Linked DNA regions of Tamandua tetradactyla. The protein of the gene in region 1 interacts with the protein of each later gene in a pairwise test. Links are inferred from orthologs where the notes say so. Each region holds a gene or a part of one and is shown in the gene's direction. Other genes may lie near its edges. The genes, in order: CEP76 and SALL2.

What was found.
Region 2: the proteins of CEP76 (region 1) and SALL2 interact in binary tests that used the Homo sapiens proteins (3 or more experiments, as listed by UniProt). The two-hybrid records come from large-scale screens. The link is inferred for Tamandua tetradactyla from reciprocal best matches to the Homo sapiens genes CEP76 and SALL2.

The regions. Positions count from the first base shown.
Region 1 is NC_135344.1:76,582,778-76,598,040, reverse strand, and holds the start of CEP76 (centrosomal protein of 76 kDa), read left to right. Parts: upstream 1-9,203; 5' UTR 9,204-9,267; coding exon 9,268-9,330; intron 9,331-9,568; exon of another isoform or gene 9,569-9,695; intron 9,696-10,017; exon of another isoform or gene 10,018-10,249; intron 10,250-10,562; coding exon 10,563-10,718; intron 10,719-12,817; coding exon 12,818-12,899; intron 12,900-13,514; coding exon 13,515-13,739; intron 13,740-14,840; coding exon 14,841-15,026; intron 15,027-15,263. Other genes in the region: PSMG2 (proteasome assembly chaperone 2), read right to left, coding at 6,329-6,500, 8,903-8,959. UniProt on the Homo sapiens protein: Centrosomal protein involved in regulation of centriole duplication. Required to limit centriole duplication to once per cell cycle by preventing centriole reduplication.
Region 2 is NC_135340.1:34,913,048-34,928,406, forward strand, and holds SALL2 (sal-like protein 2), read left to right. Parts: upstream 1-7,325; 5' UTR 7,326-7,422; coding exon 7,423-7,489; intron 7,490-7,866; coding exon 7,867-10,673; intron 10,674-11,119; coding exon 11,120-11,527; 3' UTR 11,528-12,596; downstream 12,597-15,359. UniProt on the Homo sapiens protein: Probable transcription factor that plays a role in eye development before, during, and after optic fissure closure.

The DNA.
Region 1 (15,263 bases):
GTTGGTCCAGTGGTACAGACACTAACATTTCAATATACCAGTGCAATTAAAAACATATACATTTACAATTATCCTGCAAAACAAAACAAAACAAAACAAAAAATCCTCAAGAAATGAATTACTATGTAGTAAACCAGCTATTCATTCATCTGTTCACTCTTTCTGCATCTGTCAAATCACTACTACAGTCACAAGGAGTAAAAGAACTTTTAATAACAAATGAAAACAACTCAAATAACCCAAACTTCAAACCTTCCACTTTGTGGGCCCTTAAGGTATGCTAAGATGACCACAATAAAAGGGTCATCAGCTAGCTGAAATGCAATGACAAAATGACAACTGAAGCATTTCATTCCAAACAAATAAAACTCAAACACACACACAAACACAACCCAAAATTTCAGCAACAATATGAGGTTGGTATTACTATGTACCAACTCACAGACACAAATAAATAGCATTTTAGAACTGTCTGTGGCTTAAGCACTAGTTAGGTCTGAGAAATTCTTTTTGAACTCTCCATCTAAAGACTCATAAACTAACCAAGGGGTAAAATTCCTTATTGTTTTTAGTAATCTATTATCCAAAAAACCTGAGGCTTACTGACTAAAACTATCTGAAACTCAGGTAGAGAACAGTAAGTTTCCTCCTGATAACTGGAAGCCAGGACAGACTACCAGATTCTACTGACTAGGAAGATACTTCATTTCCTACTTAATTTACATGGCTCTGTACCTCTATTTCTACAATTCCATTTTTTTTAAGAGTTTTTAATTTCTTTTCCCTCTTAATATACTTAGAATGATGTCAAGGAAGAAAAAGCCAGTCTTTACTCTTGGCATTTTAAATTAACCCCAAGTTTCTTCAGAATAGAGTATACTTTCCTTCTTTATTTCAGAGAAGGCAGCAACTCTTCTGAAGTATCTTAGTTCTCCCAGGGTTCAACAATTAAAACGGAAATATATTTCTGAGGCACAATCATTCTTAGAACTGTGGTTCAGCACCTGACCCTGCAGGCATTTCTATTTACAGTCTGCAGTTTATCCCACCATTGCAGAAGCCAGTGTAAAAATCTTTCTGCACAAGGCTATGGAGAAAAAGGGAAAATAAATGGAAACTGGCACCAAAGAATCAGCTGTCATTGTAAGAATGAGAATGTTTGTTCTCTGAGGCCAGCACGAAGCACTGTAGGAGTGAAGCCAAATCTACTACAAATGTTAGCAGGTAATGTGGAGTATGGCCAGGACAGCTTGACTGAATAGTGATCTCTGCAAACTGTCAAGAACCAAATCTCAGAATTTCCCTTTCCATATTTATTAAACGTTTTAGTGTAAATGCTAAATTATTCTCTTCACCTTAACGATTCATCCCAGGCATCCACTGCAGAACCATATTATGTGACAACACACGGGTGTATACATGACCCTCTTGCTCTCCTTCTCCTAGGCTGAAACACATACAAAACCTCTATTTCCCGTATGCTATCACAGAGTCTATGACTGAAAATCTCTAGTTTTGTTTTCTGTTTAGGAGTTACTACAAATGTCCTCAAAACTGAGGACATAAAACTTTAATGTCCTCAGTTTTGTTCTCTACTTACGAAAGGCAGCTTCAATGTCCAATATCATCTTGTCTTAAAAGTAGCCACAGCAAAAACTAAGGACCAGATGACCTTTCAATAGGACAAGCAGACCAAAATTTGCCAAAGCTAAAAGAGATTCAGCATTATCTTTTTAGTGCTTGAGTCTTTTATCATTCTATCTCCAGCCTTTAGCTTTTTCTTGGCCTTAGTCCAAAATACCAAGGTACTCTCTGGGCAGACCGAGATTTTTATTACTACCATAGATTAGATCAATATTACTACCACAGATTAGATCAATGTATCTCAGTGAGTTTATTGTTTCCACATCACAAGATGGAACTTCCTTGCCTGGAAGCCATTTCTAAATACAAAGGGTCCATTCAGTAAGTCAGATTGAGATCCCCCACCAGAGGGACAGATGCTGTCTAATCAAATTCCTGTGCAAATTGGGGGCTGTGGCTTCTCCGATTGCAACTGAGGATGAGAAGGTTGCTGTCCCCTGCTGAAATGGACGGTGGCTTCATCAATCAACATAAGAGGTATGTAGTTCTGCTGGGCTGGTATGGGTCCCATGCATCAGCCTAATCTATAAAATGTCAATGTCATCTACAGTCTGAAATAGGTCCCGATTGAACAGGTCAGATAAAGGCTTGCAACTGTAATTTGCCAGACATTAGTGTAATTATAATACTGAACCACTTATTCAAAACTAAGGGGTTTCTGTCCTGTGGAAAAGGGCAGAATGTGATCGTGAGTGTCCCACTGGAAGAGACAATCAATTTCCTAGAACAGTGGGAAATAGTGGCAAGCAACATGACCTTGATCAGCTCCAGTATGTGGCCTGGGGTTAGGGCACTAGGGTGATCTATTATGGCTTCTTTGTCTGCTTGGTTTGGATCCTGATGGGGACTATCCTGCTCCTTTGGAGAAAAATCGTTCACCTTCACCGCGCTTCTGAGCCACAGCGTCATGGTGCTGAGACTCGGGCAGGTATTTCCTTCTTTCCTTTGGAATTTTCCCTTCTGCCTCTAGTTTAGCCTGGGCTTGCCTTCTCTTAAGAATATGGTGGTACTGTCTGGCATTAACATAGGGAGGCTCTTCTTCGAGCGTCTCAGCTAGGTAGGGGGATTCTTTGTATAGCCAGCACACACCGACCCCAGGCACCATCATGACCATCCCTCCTGAATTGCCCATATTGCCTGCTACCAGTAGTGTCACAGAGACAGTCCCTTGTCCACTGCTGGTTGTGTTGGTGTTGGCTTCTGTCTGAACAATCTGTGCTCCTGCCAAGCTGGCAGCTGGGATGGCAATCATGAACCGAAACAGGGACTATAACTTGCTGGAGAATGGTGCCATCTGCATTAACTGGCTGACAGAAAATGGTCTGCCCTTTCTGGTACTATTTTCCACTGTACCAGGAAATTGATCTTCTCTTTCAGGGGGATACTCATGATCGCACTCTGCCCCTTTCTATAGGACAGAAACCATTCAGTTTTTAGTAAGTGGTTCAGTATTATAATTACAGTAATGTCTGGCAAATTGAAGTTGCAAGCCTTTACCTCTTGTTGCTTCTGGCCAGCAGTCTGTGGCTGGGTCTGGCCCTGCTGACCCTGCACCTGCACAGCCTGTCCACATTGGATCTGGATCTGTCTGGGTGGGACCAATTGTATCTGCTGTAAACCCTGTGTCCCAGATACAGGTACTTGCATGATGGTTTGATCTTGTCCACCAGGGACAGCCTGGACCATGATGGGTTGGCCGGATGATATGATTAATTGGCATTCACTGACTTGCACCATTAACGGCTACCCTTGGAGCTGCTGCTGAATCTGTCTAGCCTACACAACAATCTGTTCTGTGGAACTATTGCTGTTTGCTATATACTGCTCCATGATCTCTCCAAGTCAGAATATCTTCCACAGTGAGCTTTGCTCTGGAGATCCTAGAAGACTGCAAGGTGCAGTCCGTGCCTCGCTCCCCTGGTTTGCTGCCCATGCTGATTGGCTCCAGTATCAAACCCCAAAACCCAATCAGAGGCTCCTGATGCTGCCTCGCAAAATTTATTATAAATAAATTTTGATACAAAATATCAAAAAGTATTTTTCTTCAGACTTTACCTGTAAAACTAGAGAAGCATTCATCTGGAAAATATTGGTATTAAGACCAATAAAATCATCTCTAATATGCTAAACTTTTTGGTTTTTGAGGACATCTAGGTCTTTTCTGATATCCTTCTGTCTTCTCTTTGGAGGACAGCCACACTCACTGGGATTAAAAGAAGAATGAAATGTAGGAGCATGTTAGCCGTATAATAAATGTTCTTCAGTTCTTGAAAGACTTGAAATAATGTGCAAAATGTTCTGTGAGTTAATGTGTGCGCATTTCATCTGGGAAAAGGACCTATAACTTTCATCAGATTCTTTAAGAAGTCCACTTTAGGGATGCTTCAGGCTACCCTGCACAATTTCACCTCCAAGAGTGAGAAGCTCTGATATGAACCAACAACAAAAATAGGTCTCTAAGTGTTTAGGCCACTGTGCTAATGGGTATGCTTTTTGCTACTATAAAGCAATTACAAATAGCACTAGACTGGAGCAAATCCTTTGGTAGGTCATGTTTCTCTTGGTTTAAGATCTTTTGTGGGACTGTCTCCTTGTGGCTTGTGTGGTGTGGAATGGTTGGGGGTTAAGCTGTACTCAGCAAGTCCAGTGAGCACCATTATGTTCAGAGCTAAAGAGGCTAGAATGGGAGGTAGTACAGGGAAAGGCAGGGAAAGGAACAGGCATAGGGCACTCCTCTAATCGATATAGATCTAGGTGGGGAAAGTATCTCTGGGTGGCCAGGCTAAGCTTTTTTTTGACATGGGCAGGCACCAGGAATCAAACCTGGGGCTCCGGAATGTCAGGCAAGAACTTTGCCCGCTGAGCCACTGTGGCCCACCCCAAACTAAGTTTTAAAATGCAGATATACCATTTTTTATAAGAGCAATACCCATACCCTTCAATTCTATATCATGCAACTATTTTTGTTGCTAAGACCTTGATACTTTCTTCTGATGTGATACAGTATGAAAGCAACATTACTTTTATGTGTTCTAATAAAAAATATTTAACTTAAACCTAATCAATCCTCAAGATCAAACTTTCAGTTTTAGAAAATACAGGGGCTAGACCCACAAGCCAAATGACACCAGAAGGAAGTAATCAGGTAAATGCAGAAGGTGGGAGAGCCTGTAAGACAATGGGCCAGTCTGTGTCAGAGGAGAGTAAGTGGACCTTTAAGTAGAGCAAAGGTGCGCTAGCAGAATGATGTGGTGCTTAAGAGGCAGGTCTCTGGAGCCAGACTGCCTTGATTAAAATCCCAGCTCCACCAATTATTAATTATGTGACTGAACAAATTACTCAACTTCTCTGAACCATGGTTTCCTCATCTATAAGACTATCTTTTGGAGTTGGCATGAGGATTAAGGGAATTAACACATGTAAAGTGAAGTTGTGTCCAGCTCATAGTAAATGCTCAATAAATGATTGTTGTCATTAGTGCAAAGTATAGGACTTCTAGTACCACCAGTTTACCCAGATAAGCATTCATCTGGAAAATACTGGTATTAAGACCAATAAAATCATCTTTAAGAATGCTAAACTTTTTGGGTTTTGAGAACAGCTAAGTCTTTACTGATATTCCCCCGTCTTCTCTTTGGAGGACAGTCACACTCACTGGGATTAACAGAAGAATGAAATGTAGTAGAGTGTTAGCCATATACCTTCTAAGGCAATAACTAAAATTCAGCCTTTCATGTTAACAAAATCATCAATCTTATGTCAACAAAACCATGGGTTTTATGTTAACAAAACCATCTCTCCTGCAGGAATTTCAATTAAGATTATTTCTCAAAAGTTCATTTCATCATTGTAAGCTAAGAATAAATGACAGGGTTAATAAAACTGACAAAAAAATAAAAATATTTCTTCATTTGTACTTCAATCCACCAGGCATCTCTCATGGGCCCCATCACCTTTGGCTTTGACCTTAAAATGTTAAACAGAAGATAGAGAGGCTAACAGAGCCATCAACAAAGTGGATATTCCTGTCTTCAAGAACAACAGGTGTCTTTCCTCTGTTCTCTTGGTTCTCTCCCACATTATAACCAAACAGCAGTCAGTGCAATGTAAATTATGTTCCCTAATTAAAAAAGTCTGATTTGTCCAATGAAGAATTACGGAAATTTATGCTAAGTCAAAAGTCTACACCAGGCATTAGAGAACTCAGACTCTCAGGGTCTTATCATCTATATCATAGTATTATGGATTCTATAGTTAAGCAGCAAGAAGACTGAGGCTTAGAAGAGGGAGCACATGCTAAGCATGGAGGACTGCACCCTTTTCTTTTCTCCTTTTCCCAGGTATCAGTGGTGATAATTATACATGCCAGTAAAAACAAAAAATAAAACTGAGGATAAAAGGGAAAAAAAAAATCCACGTTGGGATGGAAGGGTAATAAAAAGAGGAAATCTTAAAATTCTAAACAAAGATACAAAGAACAATTACATCTCTTGTAGGAGTTGCCATTTAGAAAAGAACAAGAAATAAAACCAGGATGTAAGAGAATAGGACAGTGCAACTAGGTTGTACAATCTGCACAAAGCTGGCACTAAGTAAATGTTTGCTTTGAAACAGTATTCACAGAATCTATCCTAATTTAAAACAACTCTACCAGGTAGTACAACAAACCATTCTGAGGCCTTACCTTCAGTATTTGTACTGAGTTCTGTTGAATTTTCTTCCTCAGTTGCATATGGGTTGTTCCCAACCATCGGCACAAGACAATCAGTATAGAAGTAACCAATCTTAGACATATTCAGTGTGGAAATAATCAGGTCTATTGCAAGCTGACCAACATTTCCAACAGATACTGCTGGCTGAAACCATAAACGATGATTAATAAGTCGTAGGAATTAGTTACATTTAAAAAAAATTAGAAGGCAATCACAGCACTAGTTAGTACTGAATAGTTATGCTCAGGTGCCTCGCTTGATACACTTTCTTTAAGGGTAACAGAAATGTCATCTGGGCCATCTCCACGTTTGAGGCCACTCATTTAACAAATACTTGTTGATGACCTACTATGTGTCAATTATTGCTCTAAGCACTGGGGAAGCAGTAAAACAAATCAGACAAAAATCCCTGCTCTTGTGGTGGAGTTTTCATTCTAGTGAAAGTGGTTTACTTATAATAAACAATAAACTGGTAAAATATATAATAAAATATACAGTGGTTAAAGCCAAGAAAAAGGATATCATATATGAGTGTGTGTGTGTGTGTGTGTGTGTGTATGGCTGCAATTTTAAAAACAGTGACAGAGGAAAGACTCACTTCAGGTGACAAGTACCTAAGACCTAAAGAAGGAAAAGGAGAGTCATGTAATAACCTGGGAAAAGAATGATGCAGGCAATGGAAAAGAAAGTGTAAAAGCTGTAAGGTATGAACAAAAGCGTGTGTGAGTCTTCTTTCAGTTTGCTTTGTTAGTGCCTTTTTCTGCACACTCCTATAGCTGGAGTGAATTTCACATTAAACATATATGCATACGTGTGCATGTTTCGTGTGTATATTCACACATACACAGACTTACCCCAATTGACTTCAAACAACCCAAATGCCAAATTCCAACCTCCCATCAGGACACCTGCCTGAAACCCAGAGCCTAATGGATAGCTCTATGTGTTTATGTCACAAGCAGCTCACAGTCAACAAGTAAAAAACTAACTTTTGCCAAAACTTGTCCCCCATTTTAAAGTTCACAAAATAGCAACATTATTTACTCAATTACCTAAACCAGGAAACTTCCTCCCTTTCCATTACCAACTACATCTAATATCTGACTAATTTTTATTGATTTAACTTTTTATTACAGCTTCTCCTTTGCATTCATCCAGTTATTGCTTTTCTCTGGACTTCATATATTTTGCTGGTTCCCTCAAAGTGGTCTCCCACATCTTATGCCATCATGTACTAATTTCTTGTTTACCCTTTTCCCTTCTCAATTAGCTACTCTGCTTGTAGTCTCTTTGTATTTCTCTGTATCATCTCTCTTTTCCCCACTATCAGATCCTTCCCATCGGCATATAAGCATGCTCTAATACTGTTTATTCTAAAAAACCCTCCCTTGACCCCACCTCTCTAACTACCACCTCAATTCTCAGACTCCCTAGATTGCCAAAATTCCCTGATACTGGCCACTAAAATCTAAGCAGAACTTTATCTCAGAATCAATGAAATACATATATACACAAGTATCCATGTCCTCTTCTTTCATATATTCAACCCAACCTGATACAGCTTCCCTCTCTACCACTCCACTAACTGTCTGCCAGGGTTACCATGAGTAATCTCGCTGCTAAACCCAAAAGGACACTTGTTTCAACTTACACAATGTCTGGACTATTTTTGACAGATGTCCCTCCCTCTCTCCTGAAACACTCTTCTCTTTGGATTTCTGTGCTTGATAATTAATATATAAAAGAATGACTGTTGTGTCTCTCTCCAGCTTTGCACCACTCCAAACTGCATTCTCCAAAGGTGCCTCCTGGGTTTACAGGCCTGCAGCCTACTCTGTCTCAAAGTGCCATTCCTCACTCTGGGCCGTGCCCCAGAACCCCATGCTTTTGTGCCTCTGGTTTAAAAAGTCCATCCTTCTGGAATGCTCTACTTTCTACCCCACCCCCCAAAAAAGCCCCACTTTCCTCGCCTTTTAGACATTACTTTTCTATGAAGTTCTTCGTAACAGGCCTCCACTGGACTGTAAACTCCTCGAGGCCGGGGACCGAGTCCTATTCTAACGTTCACACCTGGCAGAATGTTGACTGAAAGGACGAATGAATGTAGCCAATTGCAAAAGCAATAAAACCGTGTCAACTACGAGCAAAAACGTCACTTTCATTACTATTACCACTTCCATTATTCTTTTTTCACTCTCATTGTTTGTAAACCTACCGCCATTCACTAAACTGTAGGCTAGTACAAACATGGCCCAAGCGTGCATTTATGGCGTTTCCCGACAGAGGACTACTCCTCTCTTTCGTTCTCTGGTGAATGGCTCAAGGCGGACCCTAGAAGCAGCTGGAAGATTTCCTAGGATAAAATTTAAGGAAAATGCGCCGCACGAACCAAGTGCAGGGTCTGCGTGATCTCCGAACATAGCACGTTTTACCACCAAGACTCCCTCGGAAGCAGGAGTCGGCACTGCAACGGGCCCGCCGCCTCCGCCGCGGCTGAGGCCGAAACCCGCACCGCCCGTGCCGGCGAGGCGGGGCCGCGCACTCACCATCAGCAGAGTGAAGCCCGCCAGGTCGGGGGCCGGCTCCCCGCAGGGGACGAACATGGCCGCGGCGAGAGGAAGCGCGAGCGAGCAGAGAAGGACCCACGCGCGCGCCGTCTCCACGCGACGCGCCCCAGGGGCCCGGCCGGCAGGCGGGTGGAAGCGAGGCGGGGTCCTTCGTCTCCCCCGGCGCCGGGCTCGGGGCCTTCCGGGGCGGCGCCTGCGCGCTGGGCGGCGCGGGTCCCGTCAGGCGCGGCGCGGGCAGCTCTGCCGGCGCTGCCCGGGTCTGAAGGCGGTTGGGCGCAGCGCGGTGCTGCTCGGCGCGTCCTGCCGCTGGCGGCCGCGGGGTGGGCGGCCCGGGCTCCGTCAGCATGTCGCTGCCCCCGGAGAAGGCCACCGAGCTGAAGCAGCTCATCCACCAGCAGCTGAGCAAGGTGAGGACGCCGCGGGCGAGGGCAGGCCGGGTCGGGGCTCGGAGGGGACGGGAGCAAGGGTTGGGGCCCGGGCGTGAGCGGGGGTCGGGGCGGGTCGGGGCGAGGCAGGGTCGGCCGGGGTGGGAGCTGCGGCCCGGTAGGGCCGAGCGAGGGTTCGGGCAGGGTTAGCGTTGGCCGGCCTTCGGGGCCGGCGTGGGGACAAGCCGGAGCGGGGCTGGGGCTCCCAGGTGGGCAGGGGATGGACCCCTCCGACGAGAGCCTACAGAGGGTTTGAGGCGATTTTGGTATTGCAGGACGGCTGTGAAAATGAAGCTCTTATCGAGTGATTTCCGATAGCCAGATAGTTGAGGATGTGTTTGGAGCAGGTGTTTTTAAATTCACGGATCAGACGTTGGGATTACTCTCAGGGTGGTAGTGGGGATGCCGTTGAAGTTGAGTCAGTAGCTTAAAGCGCCACTTCGCGGAGAAATCGTGGAAGAGAAGTGACTAAAATGTTTGTAAGGAGAGTATTCGGGATACTGCGAGCTCAAGAATGACACTGAGTCTTTGAGTGCCCAACTGAATGCATTATAAGTTGAAGGAAGAAAAATTGGACATGGAGATAATTTTAATATAAGCTACCATTTGTTTTGCACTAATTTGTGTACCAGATTTTACACTCAGTGTTTAGCACCTTTTATTTAAACTTCATAACCATCTTATAAGAGGGTAGCATTTTTTCCCATTTTGTATATGAGGAAACAGATTCAGAAAGGGAAAATAAATCGACTCAGGGTTACACGTCTAATAAACTGAAAGCTATAATTTTGACTTTGATTTGCCCTGTCCAGGCTTCTGTTCTTTGATTATTCTCTACTCTTTCTCAAAATATACGTCGTGTTGAGCATTGTTTGTGGAGAAGTGGTAACAAAGACAACAGGTAGTCAATAGACTCTTTTTCTAGAATTTATACTGGAAGTTTCATCTTTTAAAAAATTACTTTGTTTCTTCCTTTTAAAATTTTTACTTTTATTGTCATTGAATTGTAGTTACAATTTTACATTTATCCTTAGCTTGAAACACCTAAAGCTCAGGCTCCCCAGATGTGGCCTTTTGATCTCCTCCTCCCTTTTTTTTTCTTTATTACTGTAAGTTAGCATTTTAGAAAGAAATCAACATTAGCAACATTTGGTTGCTTTGATAATCTGTGCTCATTAGGAGTAAAAGAAATGTAATGCAAGTTTTCTACATAGATGGATGTCCATGGCAGAATAAGAGAAATCCTTGCTGAGACTATACGTGAAGAATTAGCACCTGATCAACAGCAGTTATCAACAGAGGATTTAATCAAAGCCCTTAGACGTCGAGGAATCATTGATGATGTGATGAAAGAACTTACTTTTGTTACTGTGAGTAATCTTTTGGGGTAAATAATTGAGAGTGTAAGTGTATTCTCATGCTTACCACTGTTTATAGGGTCCATATTTGGGACCTCTGCTGTTAGTAAGACCACTTTAAAATAAAGCTGTTTTGCAAATAACATCCTTGTTTTAAGTATAAATTGACACTATCCTTGAGCAAAGCATATATTATTAAACATTAGTGAAATTGGAGTTATATGTCATATTCCTTTTTCCATGGTGTCAGAATTTCCTCATTATTCACTAGGGTCAGTAACTTTAAATATGCATGTTTCAGTCAAATTAGTTCACCATCGAAGTCCTTTTTCACTAAACTTGTTCTGTAATTTTTTTGATTGACACTTATTTTTTTAAAAAGCTTTGGGGGGAAACTATGTTTTCTATGATTAACAAATTATCAATCTCTGTAAGTAAATAACTGATTAAGGTCTTTCAAATCTTTTCATACAAATAGGTCAGTAGTGGCATGTTAGCCTCTCAGTGCACGATTAGTAAGTAGGCCTTCTTTTGAAAATGAGGCAATAATGAGAAACTGTGACCTCAATACCTGGGTAATATAACAAAAAATTAAAATGGGCTTGGTAATACACTAGGGAATAAGTATTTTAATGCAGTGCCCTTTTTTGGTTTTTGAGGTTTATAAACCTGTTTGTTATAAAAATTGACCTAATAACAACTTTTGCTGTGTGACTGCCACTTCCTTATTAAAATCAGTTCAGGATGGAACATAAGCCAGATGTTATATGTGGTTTAGAGAAAGTTTAACTTTTTAGCACTTCTGTGGATAGCATTTTTAAAAAACATTTTTTATTGTGGAATAATAAAAAATCACTTTATACAGGAAAGTGATAAATTTCAAAGAACAGTTTAACAAGTAGTTATAGAGCAAATTTCAAAGTAGTGTGGGTTACAGTTTTACAGTTTTAGGTATTTTCTTCTGGCTGTATTAATGCACTAGAAACTAAACAGAAATATCTGTATAATGATTCAGTGCTCATAATCATTTGTTAAGTTCTAACTTTTCTGTTACAACTCCTCTCCCTCTCATTTGATCATTCTCTCTGTTTTCAGGGATATTTGGTCAGTGACCATTCTAACTTCATGTTTAAAGGGGGTGTTGACATTATGGGGTATAGGGTTGCAACTGGTTGATGTTCTGGGAGAAATAGGTACCTCTGAGTTTCAGGGCTTATCTGGCATAGGAACAATCTGGAGGCTTTAAGTTTCTGAAAAATAAACTTATAGGTAAAACTTTTATAGAGTCTTATATAGAGCCCTGGGTTTTCTTTAGGGTTTTTCAGGAATGCTGTTGGTTGGGGCTTAGCATACCATGACACTGTAATATCTGGGATGGCATTGTTTGAAGACAGTTTAATTACTTAGTGTTAGGAGTGATCAGTTGCATCATCTTTTATGGAGGCTTTTAAGATTTTATTATTTTCATTTTCTAGGAAAACAAGGGAGTTTTTGGTGGGTACCTTATCTTACCTACTCTTGATTCAGTGCTTTGTCCTATCATTGGCATTTTCTTCCTTAACCATAATTTTTTTTTTATTAATTAAAAAAAGAATTAACAAAACAATTAGAAATCATTCCATTCTACATGTACAATCAGTAATTCTTAATAACATCACATAGTTGCATATTCATCATTTCTTAGTACATTTGCATCGATTTAGAAAAAGAAATAAAAAGACAACAGAATAAGAATTAAAACATTAATAGAAAGAAAAAAAAAAACAAACAAAAAACCTATACCTCACATGCAGCTTCATTCAGTGTTTTAACATAATTACATTACAATTGGGTAGTATTGTGCTGTCCATTTCTGAGTTTTTATATCCAGTCCCGTTGTACAGTCTGTATCCCTTCAGCTCCAATTACCCCTTCTCTTTTTTTTTTTTTTTTTAATTAACGGAAAAAAAGAAATTAACCCAACATTTAGAAATCATACCATTCTACATATGCAATCAGTAATTCTTAACATCATCACATAGATGCATGATCATCATTTCTTAGTACATTTGCATCGCCTTAACCATAATTTTTGTTTTCTAATTTGTTTTGATTTTTTTGTGCCTTTCCAGGACAGTGTTGATCAAGAACTCCCTTCCTCTCCAAAACGACCGGCTTGTTTTACTGATAGACAATCAACGTTGTTAAAAAAAAGTATGTTTATTTTTTTTTTAAAGTATTAATTTAGTTGTAGATAGTAATAGATATTGATGTGCTATAGTGTTTGATATTTGATAATAAAGTTTCAGTTGCATTTGTAGGAAATAAAATAATTAAAATTTTGTGGTAATCAACCAAAAACTTAAATTCAGTTTTGCATGAAATATCTCAAGACTTAATGTATAACACAGTAGAAGCAAAACTGGAAGTTATTTCTTAGTTTTTGATAGTATATTTTGTATAGCCTTATTGTTATTTTTTAATGGTAATATAAGCACCTGACAGGTGCACTTGCTTGTCTTTGATAATTGTCTAAGATCGTTTGTGGAGGTGAAGAAATGTTAGATAACAGCGAAAAAGTAAAGGTACTGAGCCTGGCCTCTGATCCCTTCCTAGCTGGGAGAAAGTAGACAGAAGGTAAATTCAGAAAAGACTGTCATTATGTATCTCTTCTTCCCAGTGTGTAAATGATCCTGGTACACAGTAAATTGTTAGTCCTTCTCTATTTTTGCCTTTGGTTTTAGTTCTGTCAAGTTAATTCCTGTTGTCTTGATCACATTCCTCAAGTTATTTTGGCAGTTTCCTCATATATATTGCTACACTTTACAGCTAATATTGATCCAACACGGAGGTATCTTTACCTTCAGGTTTTGGGTGGAAAAGCTTTCTTGGAACATCTGCAAGAACCTGAACCTTTACCTGGACAAGTTTGCTCCACCTTTACTTTATGTTTGCATTTTCGAAACCAACGTTTTCGTTCTAAACCTGTTCCATGTGCCTGTGAACCAGATTTTCATGATGGCTTTTTACTTGAAGTACACAGGGAAAGCTTAGGTAAGGAAACATGCAAACTGTTGTTAAACTGAGTAAATCCTGGTTGGGTTTTATTATAGAACAACTCATAACTTTTGCTATAGGGGAGATTTATAATGGATGAAACTCCCTAGTCTTTTTGTTTTATTTTTTCCCTTTTACTCTTTTCTGTTCTATTTAAATTACTTTTACTCACCTTCCTGCTTTTGTTCTTTGTTTGCTAATTTATGTTCTCCTCAGATTAATTTAACTATTTTAATTGTTGGTTCTTTTGTAATATGTGTTTAATGCCTATTACGTACATGGCACCATGCTATATGGGGATATAGTGGAGCCTGAGAGAGATCATTTCATCTCATCTCATCTCATTTTCAAGGGATGGCTAGTTTGAAGATGTTATATAACTTTAAAAAGACAAATTTAGATTCAAATCTATAGCTATCTTGTTTTTTTATCTTATTTTATAGCTATAAAATTATATAATACTTAATTCCTGTCATTGTTTTACCCTATGTCTTTCTATAAAGGCAATTATACAGTTTAGTTGCCAATATAGAAATCTTTGTATTAGAAACTTAACAAAATGGTAGAATTAAACGTTCAGAATTTCAGATTATTAAGATGGCTGATAATGCTACTAAAAATTATTTTTTCTAACAGAGTAAAATGTTAACTTAATAAAGTAGTTAATGGAATAAACCACTATATCCAAGTTTCAGGATTTTTCCTTTTTGTGTAGATAATCCAGTGTTTATTTCTGGAGTTTTTAGAAATAAAGGTAGTTTGGGAATTAAGGTTGATGGATTTGAAGGCTTTTTATTGTAGTGGCATATACTTTAAGTTCTTTTTAAGAATTGTCTTAGCTCTTACAGATCAGAAGGCACTGCTGTGCCGTAAGTAAATGTGTAACTTGTCATGATTCCACCAGTCCTTTCAAATGTTATTGATAGAAGTAGGACTGTGCTTTTATTCCCAGTCTATTGCATGCTTTCTGAGGTATTACTAAATTATTTTATTTGGTTTTATAAAGTCATTATTTAGTATACTTTTCAATAAAAGTTTTTTTTTATGTTGGCTAACTGAATATGTAATATGTTATAATTTTCTGTTTTATGTTGCTAGGTGATGGAACTAGAATGGCTGATTCAACAACAATGTTATCAATAAGTGATCCAATTCATATGGTACTAATTAAAACAGACATTTTTGGTGAGACTACTTTAGTAGCATCCTATTTTCTTGAATGGCGATCAGTTTTGGGCTCGGAAAATGGAGTGACCAATCTTACTGTGGAACTTATGGGTGTAGGTATGAAGATTTTGTATCACCTTTACTTTTTTTTTTTTTTTCATTTACATGGGCAGTCACCGGAAATCGAACCCGGGTCCTCTGGCATTGCAGGCAAGCATTCTTGCCTGCTGAGCCACCGTGGCCCACCCTCACCTTTACTTTTTTATATCTGTAGTTTGTAAATACTTTTTAAATGCCTTTTTAAACCAAATCATGTAAAATAGAATTTCATTAGGAAAATTAGAATTGGACTCC
Region 2 (15,359 bases), on another chromosome or scaffold:
GCACTGGGGAAGAGGCATCAATTGGCTTTAGACCTAAGGGGGAGACTGGACCAGGTCACCCCAGTTAAGACTAAGTGAGCACTGCCCCTCCCTTTCCCATCTCTCAGCCCGGGAATGTCTCGGCGAAAGCAAAGGAAACCCCAACAGTTAATCTCGGACTGTGAAGGTCCCAGCGCCTCTGAGAACGGTGGGTGCCTGGGGCAGGGGGGGAGCAGGGAGGGGAAGGGACGGGGGGTGGGTATAAAAGGGGGGGGGAGGAGAGCTGAGCCCAAGCCTGTGTGGGTCAGAGCAGGGCAAGGGGAGGGCGCCCAGGCCATGGGTGAAAGCAGTATGGGGAGGTCTTGGTCATTGGGCCTTTGAAAGAGTTGAGATGCAGGGAGTAAGGAGAGGACCTGGCCTGGGGAGAAGCACTGCTTGGCTTTTCTCAGGATTGATTATGTTTGTGTTTTCCTTGTTGTTTTTCACTGGATGAAATGGAGTTTTCAAACTGGCTCTGTCTCCCTGCTCAAGAGTTTTCTCCCCAGGTCCCCCTTTGCTCACTGGTCTTTGTGCCGTTGCTAAGTAACGTCCTCAGACCTGAAGACTGGCTCTTAGGAGTGGGATTTTCCCCCCTTTTCTTTTTGGAGAGTTGGGTTGCAAGAGAATGAATTGGAGAAACGTGAAGGTTCCCTTGAGGGAGAAAAGAAAAAAAGTTTCTCATTGTTGGGCTGAGTTGAGAGCAGATCAGAGCTCCCAGAGGGGAGAGCTAATGTCGGTCAGAATGCAACCTGGTTTGGGGTGTGTATATCTGTGTCACCTGGGGTAGATACTGGAAGAGCTTGTCAGGCTCTGGATGAGGGGCTTAGTTGTGTGCTCCAAGGGAAGCCAAACTAAAAGCAATGTGTGGGTTAACAGACCCATGAAGCCAGGTGTATCATTTTTTTTGAGGATATTATCATTTGTTGTTTAAGCAACGGACTTTCTTTATGAGGAATTTTTTTTTTCACATATTCTTATAACATGCAAATGAAAGCTGGGCAGACAACAGAGCAACTGAGATATTCAAAAGGGACGTTGTCTATCAACTCAGAGACAGCAGCAGTCAGGACAAAAACTTAGGTTTCCTGAAGATCTGTGTCAGTGGTGCTTACTCCACTAAATCAGGGTTTCTTAAACTCACTTGATGGTAAGTAGATCTGGGATAGGTCTAGGAATCTGTATCTTTTGCAAGGATGCAGGTAATTTTAGGGTCAAGCAAGTTTTGGACTCTCTGGTTAGAAGTGTGGGTACATATGTGCACATCCATGATAGTCTGGAAGACCTGGCCCAGGGATCAACTATGTATTTAGCAAGCAGTTGCGCACCCAACAATCTAGTGTAAGGTTAAGAGCCGAAGTTCTGAAGCCAAACTGCCATGGTTTAAATTCCGGCTTCACTGCTTGCCTCAGTTTCCTCACCTAAAAAATAGGGATGAGTATACTAGCTACCTCATTAGTTTGTTGTGAGAAATGTAACAAGTTAACACATGTAAAGTACTCAGAAAAATACCTAGCATAAATAAGTACTTAGCATATGTGGGTATTATTATTACGTTAGTACAGTGGCACTTTCTGCAAATGCTGAAATTTGATGAAAGCTCAAGAAGTGCTAGGTGAACTTCAGCATTTCTTTATGAGATGTGTGCTATGAAAAAACTCTAGGATACAGTCAGTCATTTGTAGTGATGGACACTCTTTCATGGATTAAACTTGCCTTTTCCACCTGTTTTTATAAAAAGACTTGAAAGTCAAATCAGGGCTGCATGGATGATGGAACAACCTTAGGCAGATTGTGTTTTGGGTAGAACACATCCTCCCCAAGTCACTGCTTTGCTGGGATCCCACTGTGCCCATATTTAGAGGTGGTGGTAGCATCCTCCCCTCGGGGGACACATTATCCCTCCTTAATGCTGCTACAGACCGGATGCTTCCTCCTAGTGCCCTTATAGGAAACTTCCCCTAGAGCCTCAGAGTTGCCTCACAATCCTTATCCCCTGCTGGTTCAATTGTGGAACAATTCTGAACCCCAGTAGGCATCCTCCCCTCTCCTTCCCACTTCTCCCTTGCCTGCTCATCCACTCTTTATACCACAGCTGAGGAAAAAAATCTTTCTGTGAGAGTGTCAACAGGAATCTTTAACCACTGCCTTGAATGGATTCTCAAACCCTTTGAGTTATATCTCTCAAGATCTTGGGGCGGTGAACACTTCGGGGCAGGATAGCCACCCCCAGTGTAGGCTTGAACCAAAGGCAGCAACAAATTTCAGTTGAAATTTAGCCTTTGAGTCAGGAAAATCAGAACCATAAATGTGAGGAGCAAGAAAGCCCATCTCTTTATTAAGAATTACTGATTGTATATGTAGAATGGAATGATATCTAAATGTTTTGTTTGTTAATTTTTTTTAATTAATAAAAAAAGTTTAAAAGAAAGCCCATCTCTTAAGATATACCTTAAGAAATTCAAAGGGTTTTCTCATCAACATTTCCTTGAGAGTAAAAGATCTTGGGCTACTAACATGACCTGTATTTGATCATAATCAAAATTCCTCCCTGTTCTTATAAACTTAAGATATATAAATCTCTCTTTCCCTGTCTATGCATAAACAGGGTTTCTATTCACTTATGCCATCTTCAGACTCCTGCCTTACCCTTCTGCCCCAGAGACATTTTCTACATGCCTCAAAATTAGGAAAGACTCTTATTTGGGGAACACTGTGTCCTTTGGTGTATCAGTGAAATTATAAGCATCATCATGATCATCAGCAAACATTTATTTAGTAGTCTAGCGTGCCACTAATGTTTCCAGGAGTCTTTTGCCTTATTTTAAACAATGTTTACCACACGCGGACAAGCAAATGCTGAGCCTTTGTTTAAAAATGTTTGACATTTTTAAAGCCTCATTTCTGCGGCAATCTAGGACATCACCAAGAGACAATCTGAAGAACCTGTTTAAAAGCCCTGTTTTTGCTCAGATTCCCTGTCCAGAATGCTAAAACCTAACTGAATAGTTATTACACATAAGCAATAAGCAGGAAATAGTCTATTTACTCTGGAGAGAAAAAAACTCTCCCTCTCCCCTTCAGAGTATAGAAATCTGAATTAGAGAACATAAGGGATGTAACTGGGAAAATGCTAACTAGTACATCTGGGAAATAAAGGAAACCATCAGAAACCCAGATATTTAGTGAGAAGGAGAAACCAGGACAACAGCCAGACAGGTCTAGAGGGAAAGAGGGGACTGTTTTAGATGGTAGCTGGGAGGCAACAAGAGCAGCCAAAGAGGAGAGAAGAAAAAAATAGAGTTTTGAGGGTTCTGTTTTCTTCACATCTAGAAGCAGAAAGCCTCATCTCTTGGGCTATTGAACCCTGGGCTGCTCAGCCCTGGCACACCTGAGTCAGAAAAACACATTTCAGAGTAGATAGAAAGTAATCCAGGAATGGTACAATAGTACATTGGGTAAGGAAGCAGAAAAGCTGGTTTTCCATCCAGCTCGGGTCTTGAAGTTATTTGACCTTGGGCGATTCCCTTTTCTTCCTAGGCCTTTAGCTTTTGGCCTTTAAACCATAATACTCATAGCTAATATTTATGGAGCATTTACTATTTCTCAGGTACTATGCAGGCTCTTGACGCAATTCCTTTCATTTATTCCTCCCAAACCACCCCTCTCCCCACCCCCCACCCCCTTTTTTTTGCAAGGGCAGGCACCAGGAATTGAACCTGGATCTCAGGCATGGCAGGCGAGAACTCTGCCACTGAGCCACTGTCACACCACCCCCAACTCCCCTATTTTTATACCCATTTTAAAGAAGAGAAAACCAAGTATTAGATTAAAAAACTTTCTCAAGGTCACACATTAGGAACAACTAGAGCTGGGATTTTAACTCCGATGTCTTTGATTCAGAGTTGGGGCTCTCAACCACTGTGCTCAATGAGATCTCCAAAGTGTTCTAGTTCCAGGTTAAGTGCTGAGTCCTTTAATGCCAGAAAAATGCCCATAAAAAGATCCTTTTTGTATGTTTGGCCTAAGACGTTCCTGTTCTAGAAATAGATATATTTTTCTCACTTAGCAACAGGTCTACAAATCCTTGTGCCTTTTTGTCTACTCTGCAGCACAGGCCATAGATGCATGGCAGGTGTGGGTGGCAAAATATGTGTGTGTGTTTAGGAGAGAAAAGGGACAAAGAGAAAGATAGGGCATTCTCCTTTAGAAGTCGTCTATAACAGCAGCTACAGAATTAAGTCATAATTATGGGAGCTATCAATTAGTGTAGGTGCAATGTTAACTGTTGCGCTTTTGCATTGTGTTCTGTTTCCTTAATGGCTGCCTGTTGCTAGAACTCTATTGAGAACAAAGTCTTCCATTTGACAAACAGAATATGGCTCAAGATGCACATACTCTAAGAAAAGCAATACAGTCACTTAAATTCACAGTCAGGAATAAAGTCAGTCCAAAGAGGCAGGTTTTTCATAGATAAGGGTAGAGGAAAGCTAAAGCGTAGCTGTGGGCAGAGTAGAGAGGGATCCTACTGGAAGATTTAGCACTTGGCAACTTTCTGTGTGTTCGAGTTTTGCCCAGGTTTAGCCCAGGAAGATTTGAGAAGAAGAGTGGAAGTTTTGATGGAAAAGACAATCCTCCTATAGCGGTTCTCAACCAACCTTGGCTGTACGTTGGAATCATGTGGAAAGAGTTAAAAACATGCTAATACTTGGACCTCACCCTCAGAGATAGTGAATTAATTAGTCTGGAGTATGGCCTGGACATTGCGATTTTTTAAAGCTCTCCTGGTAATTCTGATGTGTACCACAGTTTGAGAACTACTGTTCAAACATACCACCCCACTGCACACTACCCACCTATTTTTCTCTTTGTTTTTCCTAAGCATTCTCTCCTAAACCTAAAGCTGCAGTGTGATAGGGAATCAGGCTCAAAGGGGGAAGCCAGCTGGTTTCCTTTTTCCTTGGCATTTTCAGCTCTTTGTAAACTTAAACAAGCACGTCCGGGTCTTAGACCTATATCCATCCCAGACTTTGCATGTGACCCAGGATAGCTTACCTCACCTTATCTGCTATCTAGGGACACCATTACCAGCTAAGTTGATTCCTGTGTTTGTGACTTCATTCATGTCTGCCTAAGAATCCTGCCCCCCTTTTCAGGATAGGCAGTGAGTGCAAAGTGCTGAGAAATAGAGGGTTCCTCTTACAGGTGGCTGATGATCCGTCACCTTTCACCAGGGACTAAATTTACCTTAAAGAAGAGAGCAGATCAAATTACACATCTGAAAGCAAGTTTCATTAAAGAGCAAGAAAGGGGACAGTGTTTCCCAGGAGAAGATGAAAAGAAAAGGATTTCTTTTCTTGTCGGAAGACTTGACAAAACAGCAACTTGATATCAAATGTTCAATGCTAATTAACAAATGCTCAGTAGAAAGCTTCCCTCTGATTCCCTCTCCCATACCGAGGCCAGAGAGCAAATGACACGTAGGAGCCACACAAGGCCCTTTCTCTAGCCTTAGGGAAGTTACACAATGTTGAGGTGCTTGAGAAAGTACTGGACAGGAGTCAAAAACCTGAATGCTTGCTTCTCTGAATTACTGTGTGAACTTGGAAAAGTCACTTAACCTCTCCAAGCTTCGATTTCCTTACCTGTAAAAATAAACCTCATTGTACTATCCTGTAACTCCCCATAACTGAAACAGACCTGCCTCTCCCTTATTAAAAGGGTCAGGTCTAGAAGCACAGGACCCCATTCGTTTCAGAGCTGCATTTCATAATCTTAAAATCCTCATGATTATCTGAGATTTCAAAACATAATTCAGTAAAATGTCTTCAAGTAAAAAAGATAGGTAAAAGTTATGTTGAAAAATGAAATGGATGTTACAAATATTTTAATTAGGTTGTTTCAGCTCCCCTCCCCCCCCAAAAAACCTCCCTGTCCTTGACAAATGTCAATGATACTCACCAATATCTTACCTCAGAAATTAATATGCAACGTTAAACAGATCTAATTTTAGTATATATGTATTTCAAGCTGACTTACTATCTATTTTGTTATTAACGATGCAAATTCTCTAACATAATTTTCATGGCTCCTCCAGTTTTTTTTAAAGTCCCATATACATGTATTAGTTTTATGCATCAAAAAAATTCCAATTTCTGTTCCCACAGTATTTCTCTGAGGAAGGTAGAAGAGCTACAGTATTACCACTTTACAAAAAGGAAACCAGAGGCATGTCTGGTGTGACTGACGGCCATGCTTTGATTTACCATTAGGGCAAGAAGAGAACTGGGATTGGAACAGTGTGTTTATTATGCCCATTCAAATCACAATTGTTGCCGGAGGAGCTCCGCCCTTTCCCCTCCCCGCAGGATAGAGCCGAGAGAGTTTCCGTAGGCCTCTGAAGGCTAGCATCTTCCCAAAACCAGCTGTCTCCTTAATAGTGACAGTGTGCGTGTATTGTAGGAGAAGGAGAATGGAGGGGGTGAGGGTAGAGAAGAGGGTACTAAATAGGAGACGGCTTCTTAAGTAAGCAGGAATTCCATAAATTAGGTGTTGTGTGATTGATCTGTGGAGTAACTTGCATTCAGCTATTATTCTGGGGGAGGAGGGGCCGGGAGCTAAGGGGCTTAATGTTCAGCGACAAGGAGTCCTGAAGTGACGTCCTTGGAAATTCTACTTTGCAGCCTCCAGCCCTCAGAAACTTATTTTCGAGGGTGGGCGAAATGGGCTGAGGGTGGAAATGGAAGTGAGGAAGATGGGACAAAACTTAGAGTATTTGGGGCTGTGTTGAAGGGGTGGATGTTTCGGGTCCGCCTTCCCCTCTGTCCCTCAGGCCTCTGAGGAGTTCAGACTACCCTCTATGGAGTCCTCTGGAGTCCGAGGATCTTTTTCCTAAGAAAAATAAGAGAATCCTATGGACTTGCTCTATTGAGCAGGGCTGTGCTCCCACTGTGCTTCCCTTAAGCTTGCCCGGGGCAGGTTTGGGCAAGGACATCTGGGGATGGGGGGAATTGGCAGAGAGCAAGGAAAGGTGGCCCCCCACAGGGAGCCAGAGCACCTGTCATTGAGCCTCCGGAAACCCTCCTCGGTTTATGGGTCCCGCCCTCCAGCTACTCTTCGCTCCCGCCCATCTCCCCAGCACTGGTCCCCACAAACTCCCCTTCCCAGCGGCTCCTCCCCGCGAAATCCCCTCTCCCAGCTTTCTCGCTCCAGCTCCTCCCCTCCTCCGCGTCTCCAAACTCCCCTCCCCCTCCTCCGCTGCTCCCTGCCCCCGCCGCCGAGCTCCATCGCCGCAGTCTCCGCCGCTGAGCGCAGAGGCTGCAGCTGCCCCGGCGGCTATCGCCGCCTCACCCAATCCCCATCCCTATTGTCTCCCACCCCACCCTGCCCTCCCCCTCCCCCACAACCATGGCGCAAGAAGCCGGGAGGAGCTCTCGCCTTGCAGGGCCCTGCGGGAAGCCGACGGAGCTCGGAGGTGCGGTAGGGCCCGGCCTGGGCAGGGGTGTGGAGGGAAGGGGGCGCGCGGGGGCGAAAGACTTTCCGTGGAGAGGATAAAATACACGATTCACTGCGTTGGTGTCCGCCCTCACACTCATCCCTTGCACTCGCGGGCGGTCCATGATGGGGGAGGGCGGCGGGCTGTGCGGGGAGGGTGTTGCTTGCGCGCGCCCTGCCCCACCCCCATCCCCGCGTGTGGAAGCGGGTCAGGACTGAGCTCTAGCCTTCTGCGTGGCCTGATGGTGAGCTCATCTCCCCACCCCCAACCAGCAGTTACTGGGCTCGTTAATTGGAGCCTCTGTCAATCCGTCCCCACCCGTAGCAGCCACGCTCTCCCTCCTTGTCTCCCCCCAGGTGATGCTAACGAGGAGGACCTTCTCCAAGTCTGTGCCAAGTGCTGCGCACAGTTCACTGACCCAGCCGAATTCCTCGCTCATCAAGACGCATGCTCTACCGACCCTCCTGTAATGGTGATAACTGGGGGCCAAGAGAACCCCAACAACTCTTCTCCCTCCTCTGAACCCCGGCCTGAAGGTCACAGTAGTCCTCAGATCATGGACACAGAACATAGCAACCCTCCGGATTCTGGGTCTTCCATGCCCTCGGATCCCAACTGGGCCCCAGAGGGGAGAGGAGAGGAGTCTGCCGGGCACTTCCTGGTCGCTGCCACAGGTACAGCGGCTGGGGGAGGTGGGGGCCTAATCTTAGCCAGTCCCAAGCTTGGAGCAACCCCATTAGCTCCAGAGTCCACCCCTGCACCTCCCCCTCCTCCACCCCCTCCTCCTCCACCCCCAGGTGTAGGCGGTGGCCACTTGAACATTCCTCTGATCCTGGAAGAGCTAAGGGTGCTGCAGCAGCGGCAGATCCATCAGATGCAGATGACTGAGCAAATCTGCCGCCAGGTGCTGCTGCTCGGCTCCTTAGGCCAGACGGTGGGGGCCCCTGCCAGTCCCTCAGAGCTGCCTGGTACAGGGACTGCCTCTTCCACCAAGCCCCTGCTACCCCTCTTTAGCCCCATCAAGCCTGTCCAAACTGGCAAGACACTGGCATCTTCATCCTCCTCCTCTTCCTCAGGAGCAGAAACACCCAAGCAGGCTTTCTTCCACCTCTATCACCCACTGGGGACACAGCATCCTTTCTCTGCTGGAGGGGTTGGGCGAAGCCACAAGCCCACCCCTGCCCCCTCCCCAGCCTTGCCAGGCAGCACAGATCAAGTGATTGCCTCACCTCACCTGGCATTCCCAAGCACCACTGGACTACTGGCAGCCCAGTGCCTTGGGGCAGCCCGAGGCCTTGAGGCTGCTGCCTCCCCAGGACTCCTGAAGCCAAAGAACGGAAGTGGTGAACTGGGCTATGGGGAGGTAATGGGTCCCTTGGAGAAGCCTGGTGGGCGGCACAAATGCCGCTTCTGCGCCAAAGTGTTTGGCAGTGACAGCGCCCTGCAGATTCACCTGCGTTCCCACACTGGCGAGAGGCCCTACAAGTGCAATGTCTGTGGCAACCGCTTTACCACACGTGGCAACCTCAAAGTACACTTCCACCGACACCGTGAGAAGTATCCGCATGTGCAGATGAACCCACACCCAGTTCCAGAGCACCTAGACTATGTCATTACCAGCAGTGGTCTGCCCTATGGTATGTCTGTGCCACCAGAGAAGGCTGAAGAGGAGGCCACGCCAGGTGTAGGTGTTGAACGCAAGCCTCTGGTGGCCTCTACTACAGCACTCAGTGCTACAGAAAGCCTGACGCTGCTTTCCACCAGTGCAGGCACAGCCACAGCCCCTGGGCTCCCTGCTTTCAATAAATTTGTGCTCATGAAAGCCGTGGAGCCCAAGAGTAAAGCTGATGAAAATACCCCTCCAGGGAACGAGGGCTCAGCCATCACGGGGGTGGCAGAAAGTGGTACTGCAACCCGCATGCAGCTAAGTAAGTTGGTGACTTCACTACCCAGCTGGGCACTGCTTACCAACCACTTCAAGTCTACTGGTAGCTTTCCTTTTCCCTATGTGTTGGAGCCTTTGGGGGCCTCACCCTCTGAGACATCGAAGCTGCAGCAGCTGGTAGAAAAGATTGACCGTCAAGGAGCTGTGGCAGTGGCCTCTACTGCCTCAGGAGCCCCCACCACCTCTGCCCCTGCAGCTTCATCCTCTGCCTCATCTGGACCTAATCAGTGTGTCATCTGCCTCCGGGTACTGAGCTGTCCTAGGGCACTACGCCTGCATTATGGCCAACATGGAGGTGAGCGGCCCTTCAAATGCAAAGTGTGTGGCAGAGCCTTTTCCACCCGTGGTAATCTACGTGCACATTTTGTGGGCCACAAGGCCAGTCCAGCTGCCCGAGCCCAGAACTCCTGCCCCATTTGCCAGAAGAAGTTCACCAATGCTGTTACTCTGCAGCAGCATGTTCGGATGCACTTGGGGGGACAGATCCCCAACGGTGGTACCACACTCCCTGAAGGTGGGGGAGTTGCCCAGGAGAATGGCTCTGAGCAATCCACAATCTCTGGGACAGGGAGCTTTCCCCAGCAGCAATCCCTGGAAGATGAGTTGTCTGAAGAAGAGGAGGAAGAGGAGGAGGAAGAGGAAGATGTGACAGATGAAGATTCCCTGGTGGGGAGAGGCTCAGAAAGTGGGGGTGAGAAAGCAATATCAGTGCGAGGTGATTCAGAAGAGGCATCTGGAGCAGAAGAGGAAGTGGGGGCAGTGGCGGCAGCAGCCACGACTGGAAAGGAGATGGACTGTAGTGAGAAAGTCATTCAACAGTCAGTTCTACCACTACCACCACCACCACCACCTGACAGCCTGGATCAACCACAGCCATTGGAGCAGGGAGGCAACGATGTCACTGGAGGCTCAGAAGAGGGGGGCAAACCAGAGAGTAGCTCAAGCCCAATGTCAGCACTCACCCGAGATGGGGAAGGCACCAGTATCACCATGGTGGAGGGGATGGGCATGCAGGAAGTGATGAGAAAGGAGCCAGCAGAGAGCAGCAGCAGAAAGGCCTGTGAGGTATGTAGCCAGGTCTTTCCCACCGAGGCAGCCTTGGAGGAACATCAGAAGACCCACCCCAAGGAGGGGCCAATCTTCACTTGTATTTTCTGCAAGCAGGGCTTTCTCGAGCGGGCTCCTCTCAAGAAGCATATGCTGCTGGCTCACCACCAGGTACAGCCCTTTGCCCCCCATGGCCCTCAGAATATTGCTTCTCTTTCCTTGGTCCCAGGCTGTTCGCCCTCCATCACTTCCCCAGGGCTCTCCCCCTTTTCCCGGAAAGATGACCCCACAATCCCATGAGCCCATTTCTCTGTACCTGCTGCCTTTGACCAGGGAGCAGAAACAGAGCTGCAGATTTTATGAGCCCTTATCTGTCCTTTTCTCTGAGTTCTTACATGGTAATGTCCCTAATGACTTTTCTCTAGTCCCTGAGCTTGGAGATCATTGGGCTCAGGGGGATGGTCCCCTTAGGAATTTTTTTCTCCCTCCTCATTCTTTGTACCTGAGGAACACAGATTCTCTGCAAGCTCCCACATTCCCATGGGGAACCTTCTCCAGCTTCCCTAGGGTGACCCTTTCTCCCCTCTCCTTTTTTCCTCTCCCTTTCCCTTTGGCAGGTGCAACTGAGCACCCACGTTTGGAATTGTAGCCCAGCCCGAAGGGGCCGGCAGCTGTCCCTGGAGGGCCCAGTGCCACTCCTCTCTGGTGACCAGGTCAACCTGCAGGACTTCTTGTCCCAGGATATTCCTGCCCAGCTGGTGGGGGTGGGTCCCCTATCTTTCTGGAACCAGTACACGGCTTTCCTGTCAAGTGGCCTGCCCACCAAGCCCCGGATTTCCAGCTCCTCCTCCAATATGGCTCCAGGCCCGTCACCACCAGTGCTGTTTGGCCCAGGAACTGTGGCTGGGAAGGTGCCTCCAGCAACGGGATCCAGAGAGGCCAAGGAGACGACAGCCCCCCTCCTCCTATTTCAGCCTCCTGTACCCAAGGCAGTTCTTGAGAACCCCATCATAAAAGACAAGTAGCAAACTGTATGTTCCTTCTCCCTCCCCCTACTCCAGAAGGTAAACAAAGAAGCTGCTGTAATTGGTGACTCAACCCTGGGGGGTAGGGAGATATGAAGGGCATAGGACACTCTTCTCAGTAAACCCCTTGATAGTCACATTAAGGCAAAGATGTTGGTGGTTGATATGCCAGGATGTCTCCAGCTTCTCATATTCCGTCATCATGGATTCTCAGAATTAGGAATCAAGCAGATTTCTTGCCAAGAGGTTTTCCATAGAATAATTTGGGAAATGTGAAGTTAGTTCATAACTTGAATGGGTGTTACCGATGAAAGTGGTTGATGGAGTAATGATGGAGAGTTGAGGAGTGTTGCTAAAGCATAGGGCCTGCTGGGAACTTATGTGATTCAAAAAGAGACATGATATAAGGGAGGGGATCTCCGGTTCTGATTGGATGGATCTCATGAGTGTTCTTTTGGGCCAATAATGACATAGTATGCAGCAGCATACCACGGATCATGGGAGATTTCCTAGCACTAATGTGTTTCTAGTTTTAGATAAATCTGTCCTTTATTCTCTGGTCCCTAGCGTTTTCCTATCTTCCTCTCAAGGCCCCTTTCCTCCTCCCCATTTTGCCTGTCCATAGACCAGAGCTTATGTCTTACCCACTGTCTGGTTCTTCGAGTCCCAGATTTTGGGAGAGTAGCTCTAGGTGGTGGCCTCCCTACTTCTCCACCTTGAATGAGATGTAGTATTTACTCTTAATATAGAATCATTTGGAACAGGAGTTCTGAGGAGAAGAGAATGAGAGTTCTGCAACTGACTGACTGAAATGATGACTTCTCCAAAGGTATAGGCTCCAGAGCTTCCTAACATAGTAAAATGTGAAGAACAGACAAGGGAGATATTAGTGTCTTTCCTTCCATCATTAAAGGTGTTTTGACCAAGTATCTTTGTGTTTCTCCTTTTTTTTTTATGACTAAATAGCCAGCTGTGATGTGATATGGGCATTCCTTAACATTGAGATTCCCTTCCCACCTACATCTCCTGCCAAAGCTGAACATATGTTGTTACAGTATTTAATTTATTCAGCCTGCCCTAAAAAACCCTCCAGTATATGTAATTTCTCTACAGAACCAGAGTTTGTGCTCTTCAGAGGGCAGGAGTTTGCCCACTGTGACAAGTCATTGTCTAGGTTTTTCTCTTTGCCAGTACAATGAGAATCTTCCTCTGCACTTCTGCATTGCATTGTATTTGGAGATTGGAAACTGCATCTTTATCAGTCTTTCTTTGCCCCCTAGGCCAGCCTAGCTGACATCAGTTATTTGTAGAAACAAAGTGAATTAATCTCCATGATTCTTGAGATCTGATGTAAACAGAAAGGACAAAAAATAATTCAACCCTAATAATTTCTACCAACAAGATAAAGGAGGATTCTTAGCATTAGGAGTGCAGAGGAAGCACATCTGGAAGTGAAATGAAGCATGCATTTTTTTCTTTGTCTCTCCACAACATAGTAAGGTTCAGATCTGTCTCTGAGGCCTTGCTTTTCTAAAGAACATTTTCCAAAAAAATTTTTTTTGTATTTTTAAGATTAAGTTATCATTGAATCATAGTGCTAAAGGAACAGGACCAGTGAAATGATTTGTCCAAAGTCATTCAATCAGTTAATTGCAGAGTTGGATCAAGAACCAAGGTCCAGAATCCCCATCTAGTGCTACTACTAGTGATCAGTAGATTGCTGCTACATCATTAAAGATACCTGGTGTGAGGCTGGCTGGAAGACAGAAGTGAAGGAGGTATGTAAGCCTATTATTGGCTCAATTCAAGGTCAAGAACCAATGTTCAATTCGAGTTGCTCATACCGAAACAGTGCAGTTCCCTTTTAAGATGTAACTGATGAAAAGGAATCCATGGGATTTTTGTGAGGCCCACTACGGAAGAAACAAATGGCTCCTGTCTCTAAATCCTCACAAAGCCTTGTAGATCTGTTTTTCTTTTCAATCTATGGAATGAGGTAGGTCACCAATCTTTCCTTTCCCTTTATTTCCCCACCCCCATCAGACATAAATTATGCCATTTAACTTTAGGTGCCAGATCCCATATGGTAACAGCTGTCAGTGAACCTTTTATTGATGGATTCTTCCTCGAGGTCAGCACTGAGTCTGATGGCCTCCCATCTTCTCGTAGCTATACTTGTTTTTCATAGCTATACATTGTTTTCTCTTCTGCTTCCTTTTCATTCTTTTTCCTCTCCTGCTTTGCCTCTTTTTCTTGTTTCAATTTCCCTCTCTTAATCTGACAGCTTTTATTTCTGCTTTTTTCTTCACCCTAATTTATTCTTTTTCTTAAAGCATTTAATTTCTTGCAAGTCTTCCTACCCACCCCCAGCCCCACCATTTTTCACTCTCAATCACTTTTCACTGGTTATCTTTTCATAAGGTAAATTAATTCTAACCTTCTGGAATGAGTATGTAAATAAATTCAGCTTGCAGAAACACATTTTATGAAATAAAATTAAAGGATTCAATGTTGATAAAACAAGCAAGATATAGTTTCATTCATTCAGTAAATTTTTGAAGATTTACTTTGTTTCAGAAACCAAGTGTTGGTTAGATACAAAGGTAAATAAGATATACTCCTTTCCCTAGAAGAGGACAGACTAGGAGGAGAGAAAATGTACATTTACTTTTAGATAGTGATAGTAAATACTATGATAGACACAATGTTCCATGGGATGCAAGAGAGGAAAACAACTAATTCATAATACAAAACTGGAGAAGGGGGAGGGGGTGTACAGTTCTCTTGATTTCAGTTTTCATAATAACTACTTTGTTACTTATTAACATACAATAACCTGAGACCAATGGAGTTACAATTTAAGAACCTATGTAAGTTCCTCCACCAAGCCCCTTTTAGTAGACATAGAGATGCCCTGCCTCAAAGATGCCTGTTCAAGACAGATCCGACTACATAGCTGGAAGGAACCTGGTTAGCTGATTGCCTCCAGTGGTCTCATTTTTCTTCAGCACTTGGCCAAAGACTAAGCAAGGTGGTGGTGAAAGGATTTAGCCATTCTCATCAAATATGGGAATCTAATGAGCAGTGTTTCTTCCAGAACTCACTATTGATCTGACAGAGAATATCAGGTCTAAGTTGTGTCACAATCTGATATCTCTCCCTATCTAATACCACTTTTTCCTCCTTTTCCTTTTTACAGTTGTTGCTCCCCCTCCCCCAATAATGCTTCTTGAATCCTAGCACCTGCTTTCCAGAGAAGTCAACTTCTGACAGCCCCCAAAAAGGCCCACATTCTATTGGCACATTTTTTTTCCTCACAAACTTCTGCTCCTGGGTCTCTGGGTATCACCCCTGGAACTTCCTAATCAACCAAGAAATATCAGTCTCCTGATACCCGAAACAGACTTCACTAGTCTTTCTTTACATTAGACCCATCTTTGATTCCCCATGTCTTTTCTAAACTGTTAGTTTAGCAACAGTAGAGTCACTAAATCTAGAGATATTTTGTTTTGCTCAGAGAGTAAAAAATTGAGTATTAACAAAACAAGAAAAAAAACCATTCAGGCAAAGAAACGAGAAGTGTACTATTTGGTTAGTACTGTGGGTGTTTTAATAATCTAGTACTTTTAACAACCATCCCAAAGCTTAAATATCTTAATGATTATATATTTACGTATGATTCCTGGATCATTTGAGCAGAACTCAGCAAGGGTGACTAATCTTTGTTCCATGTCGTGAGAGCTGGGCTCATTCAGACAGTTGCCATTTGAGCTGTGGATCCAAGATGTCCTCACTCATATCTGGCCCCTTAGCTGGGATGGTTGGCCTGGAG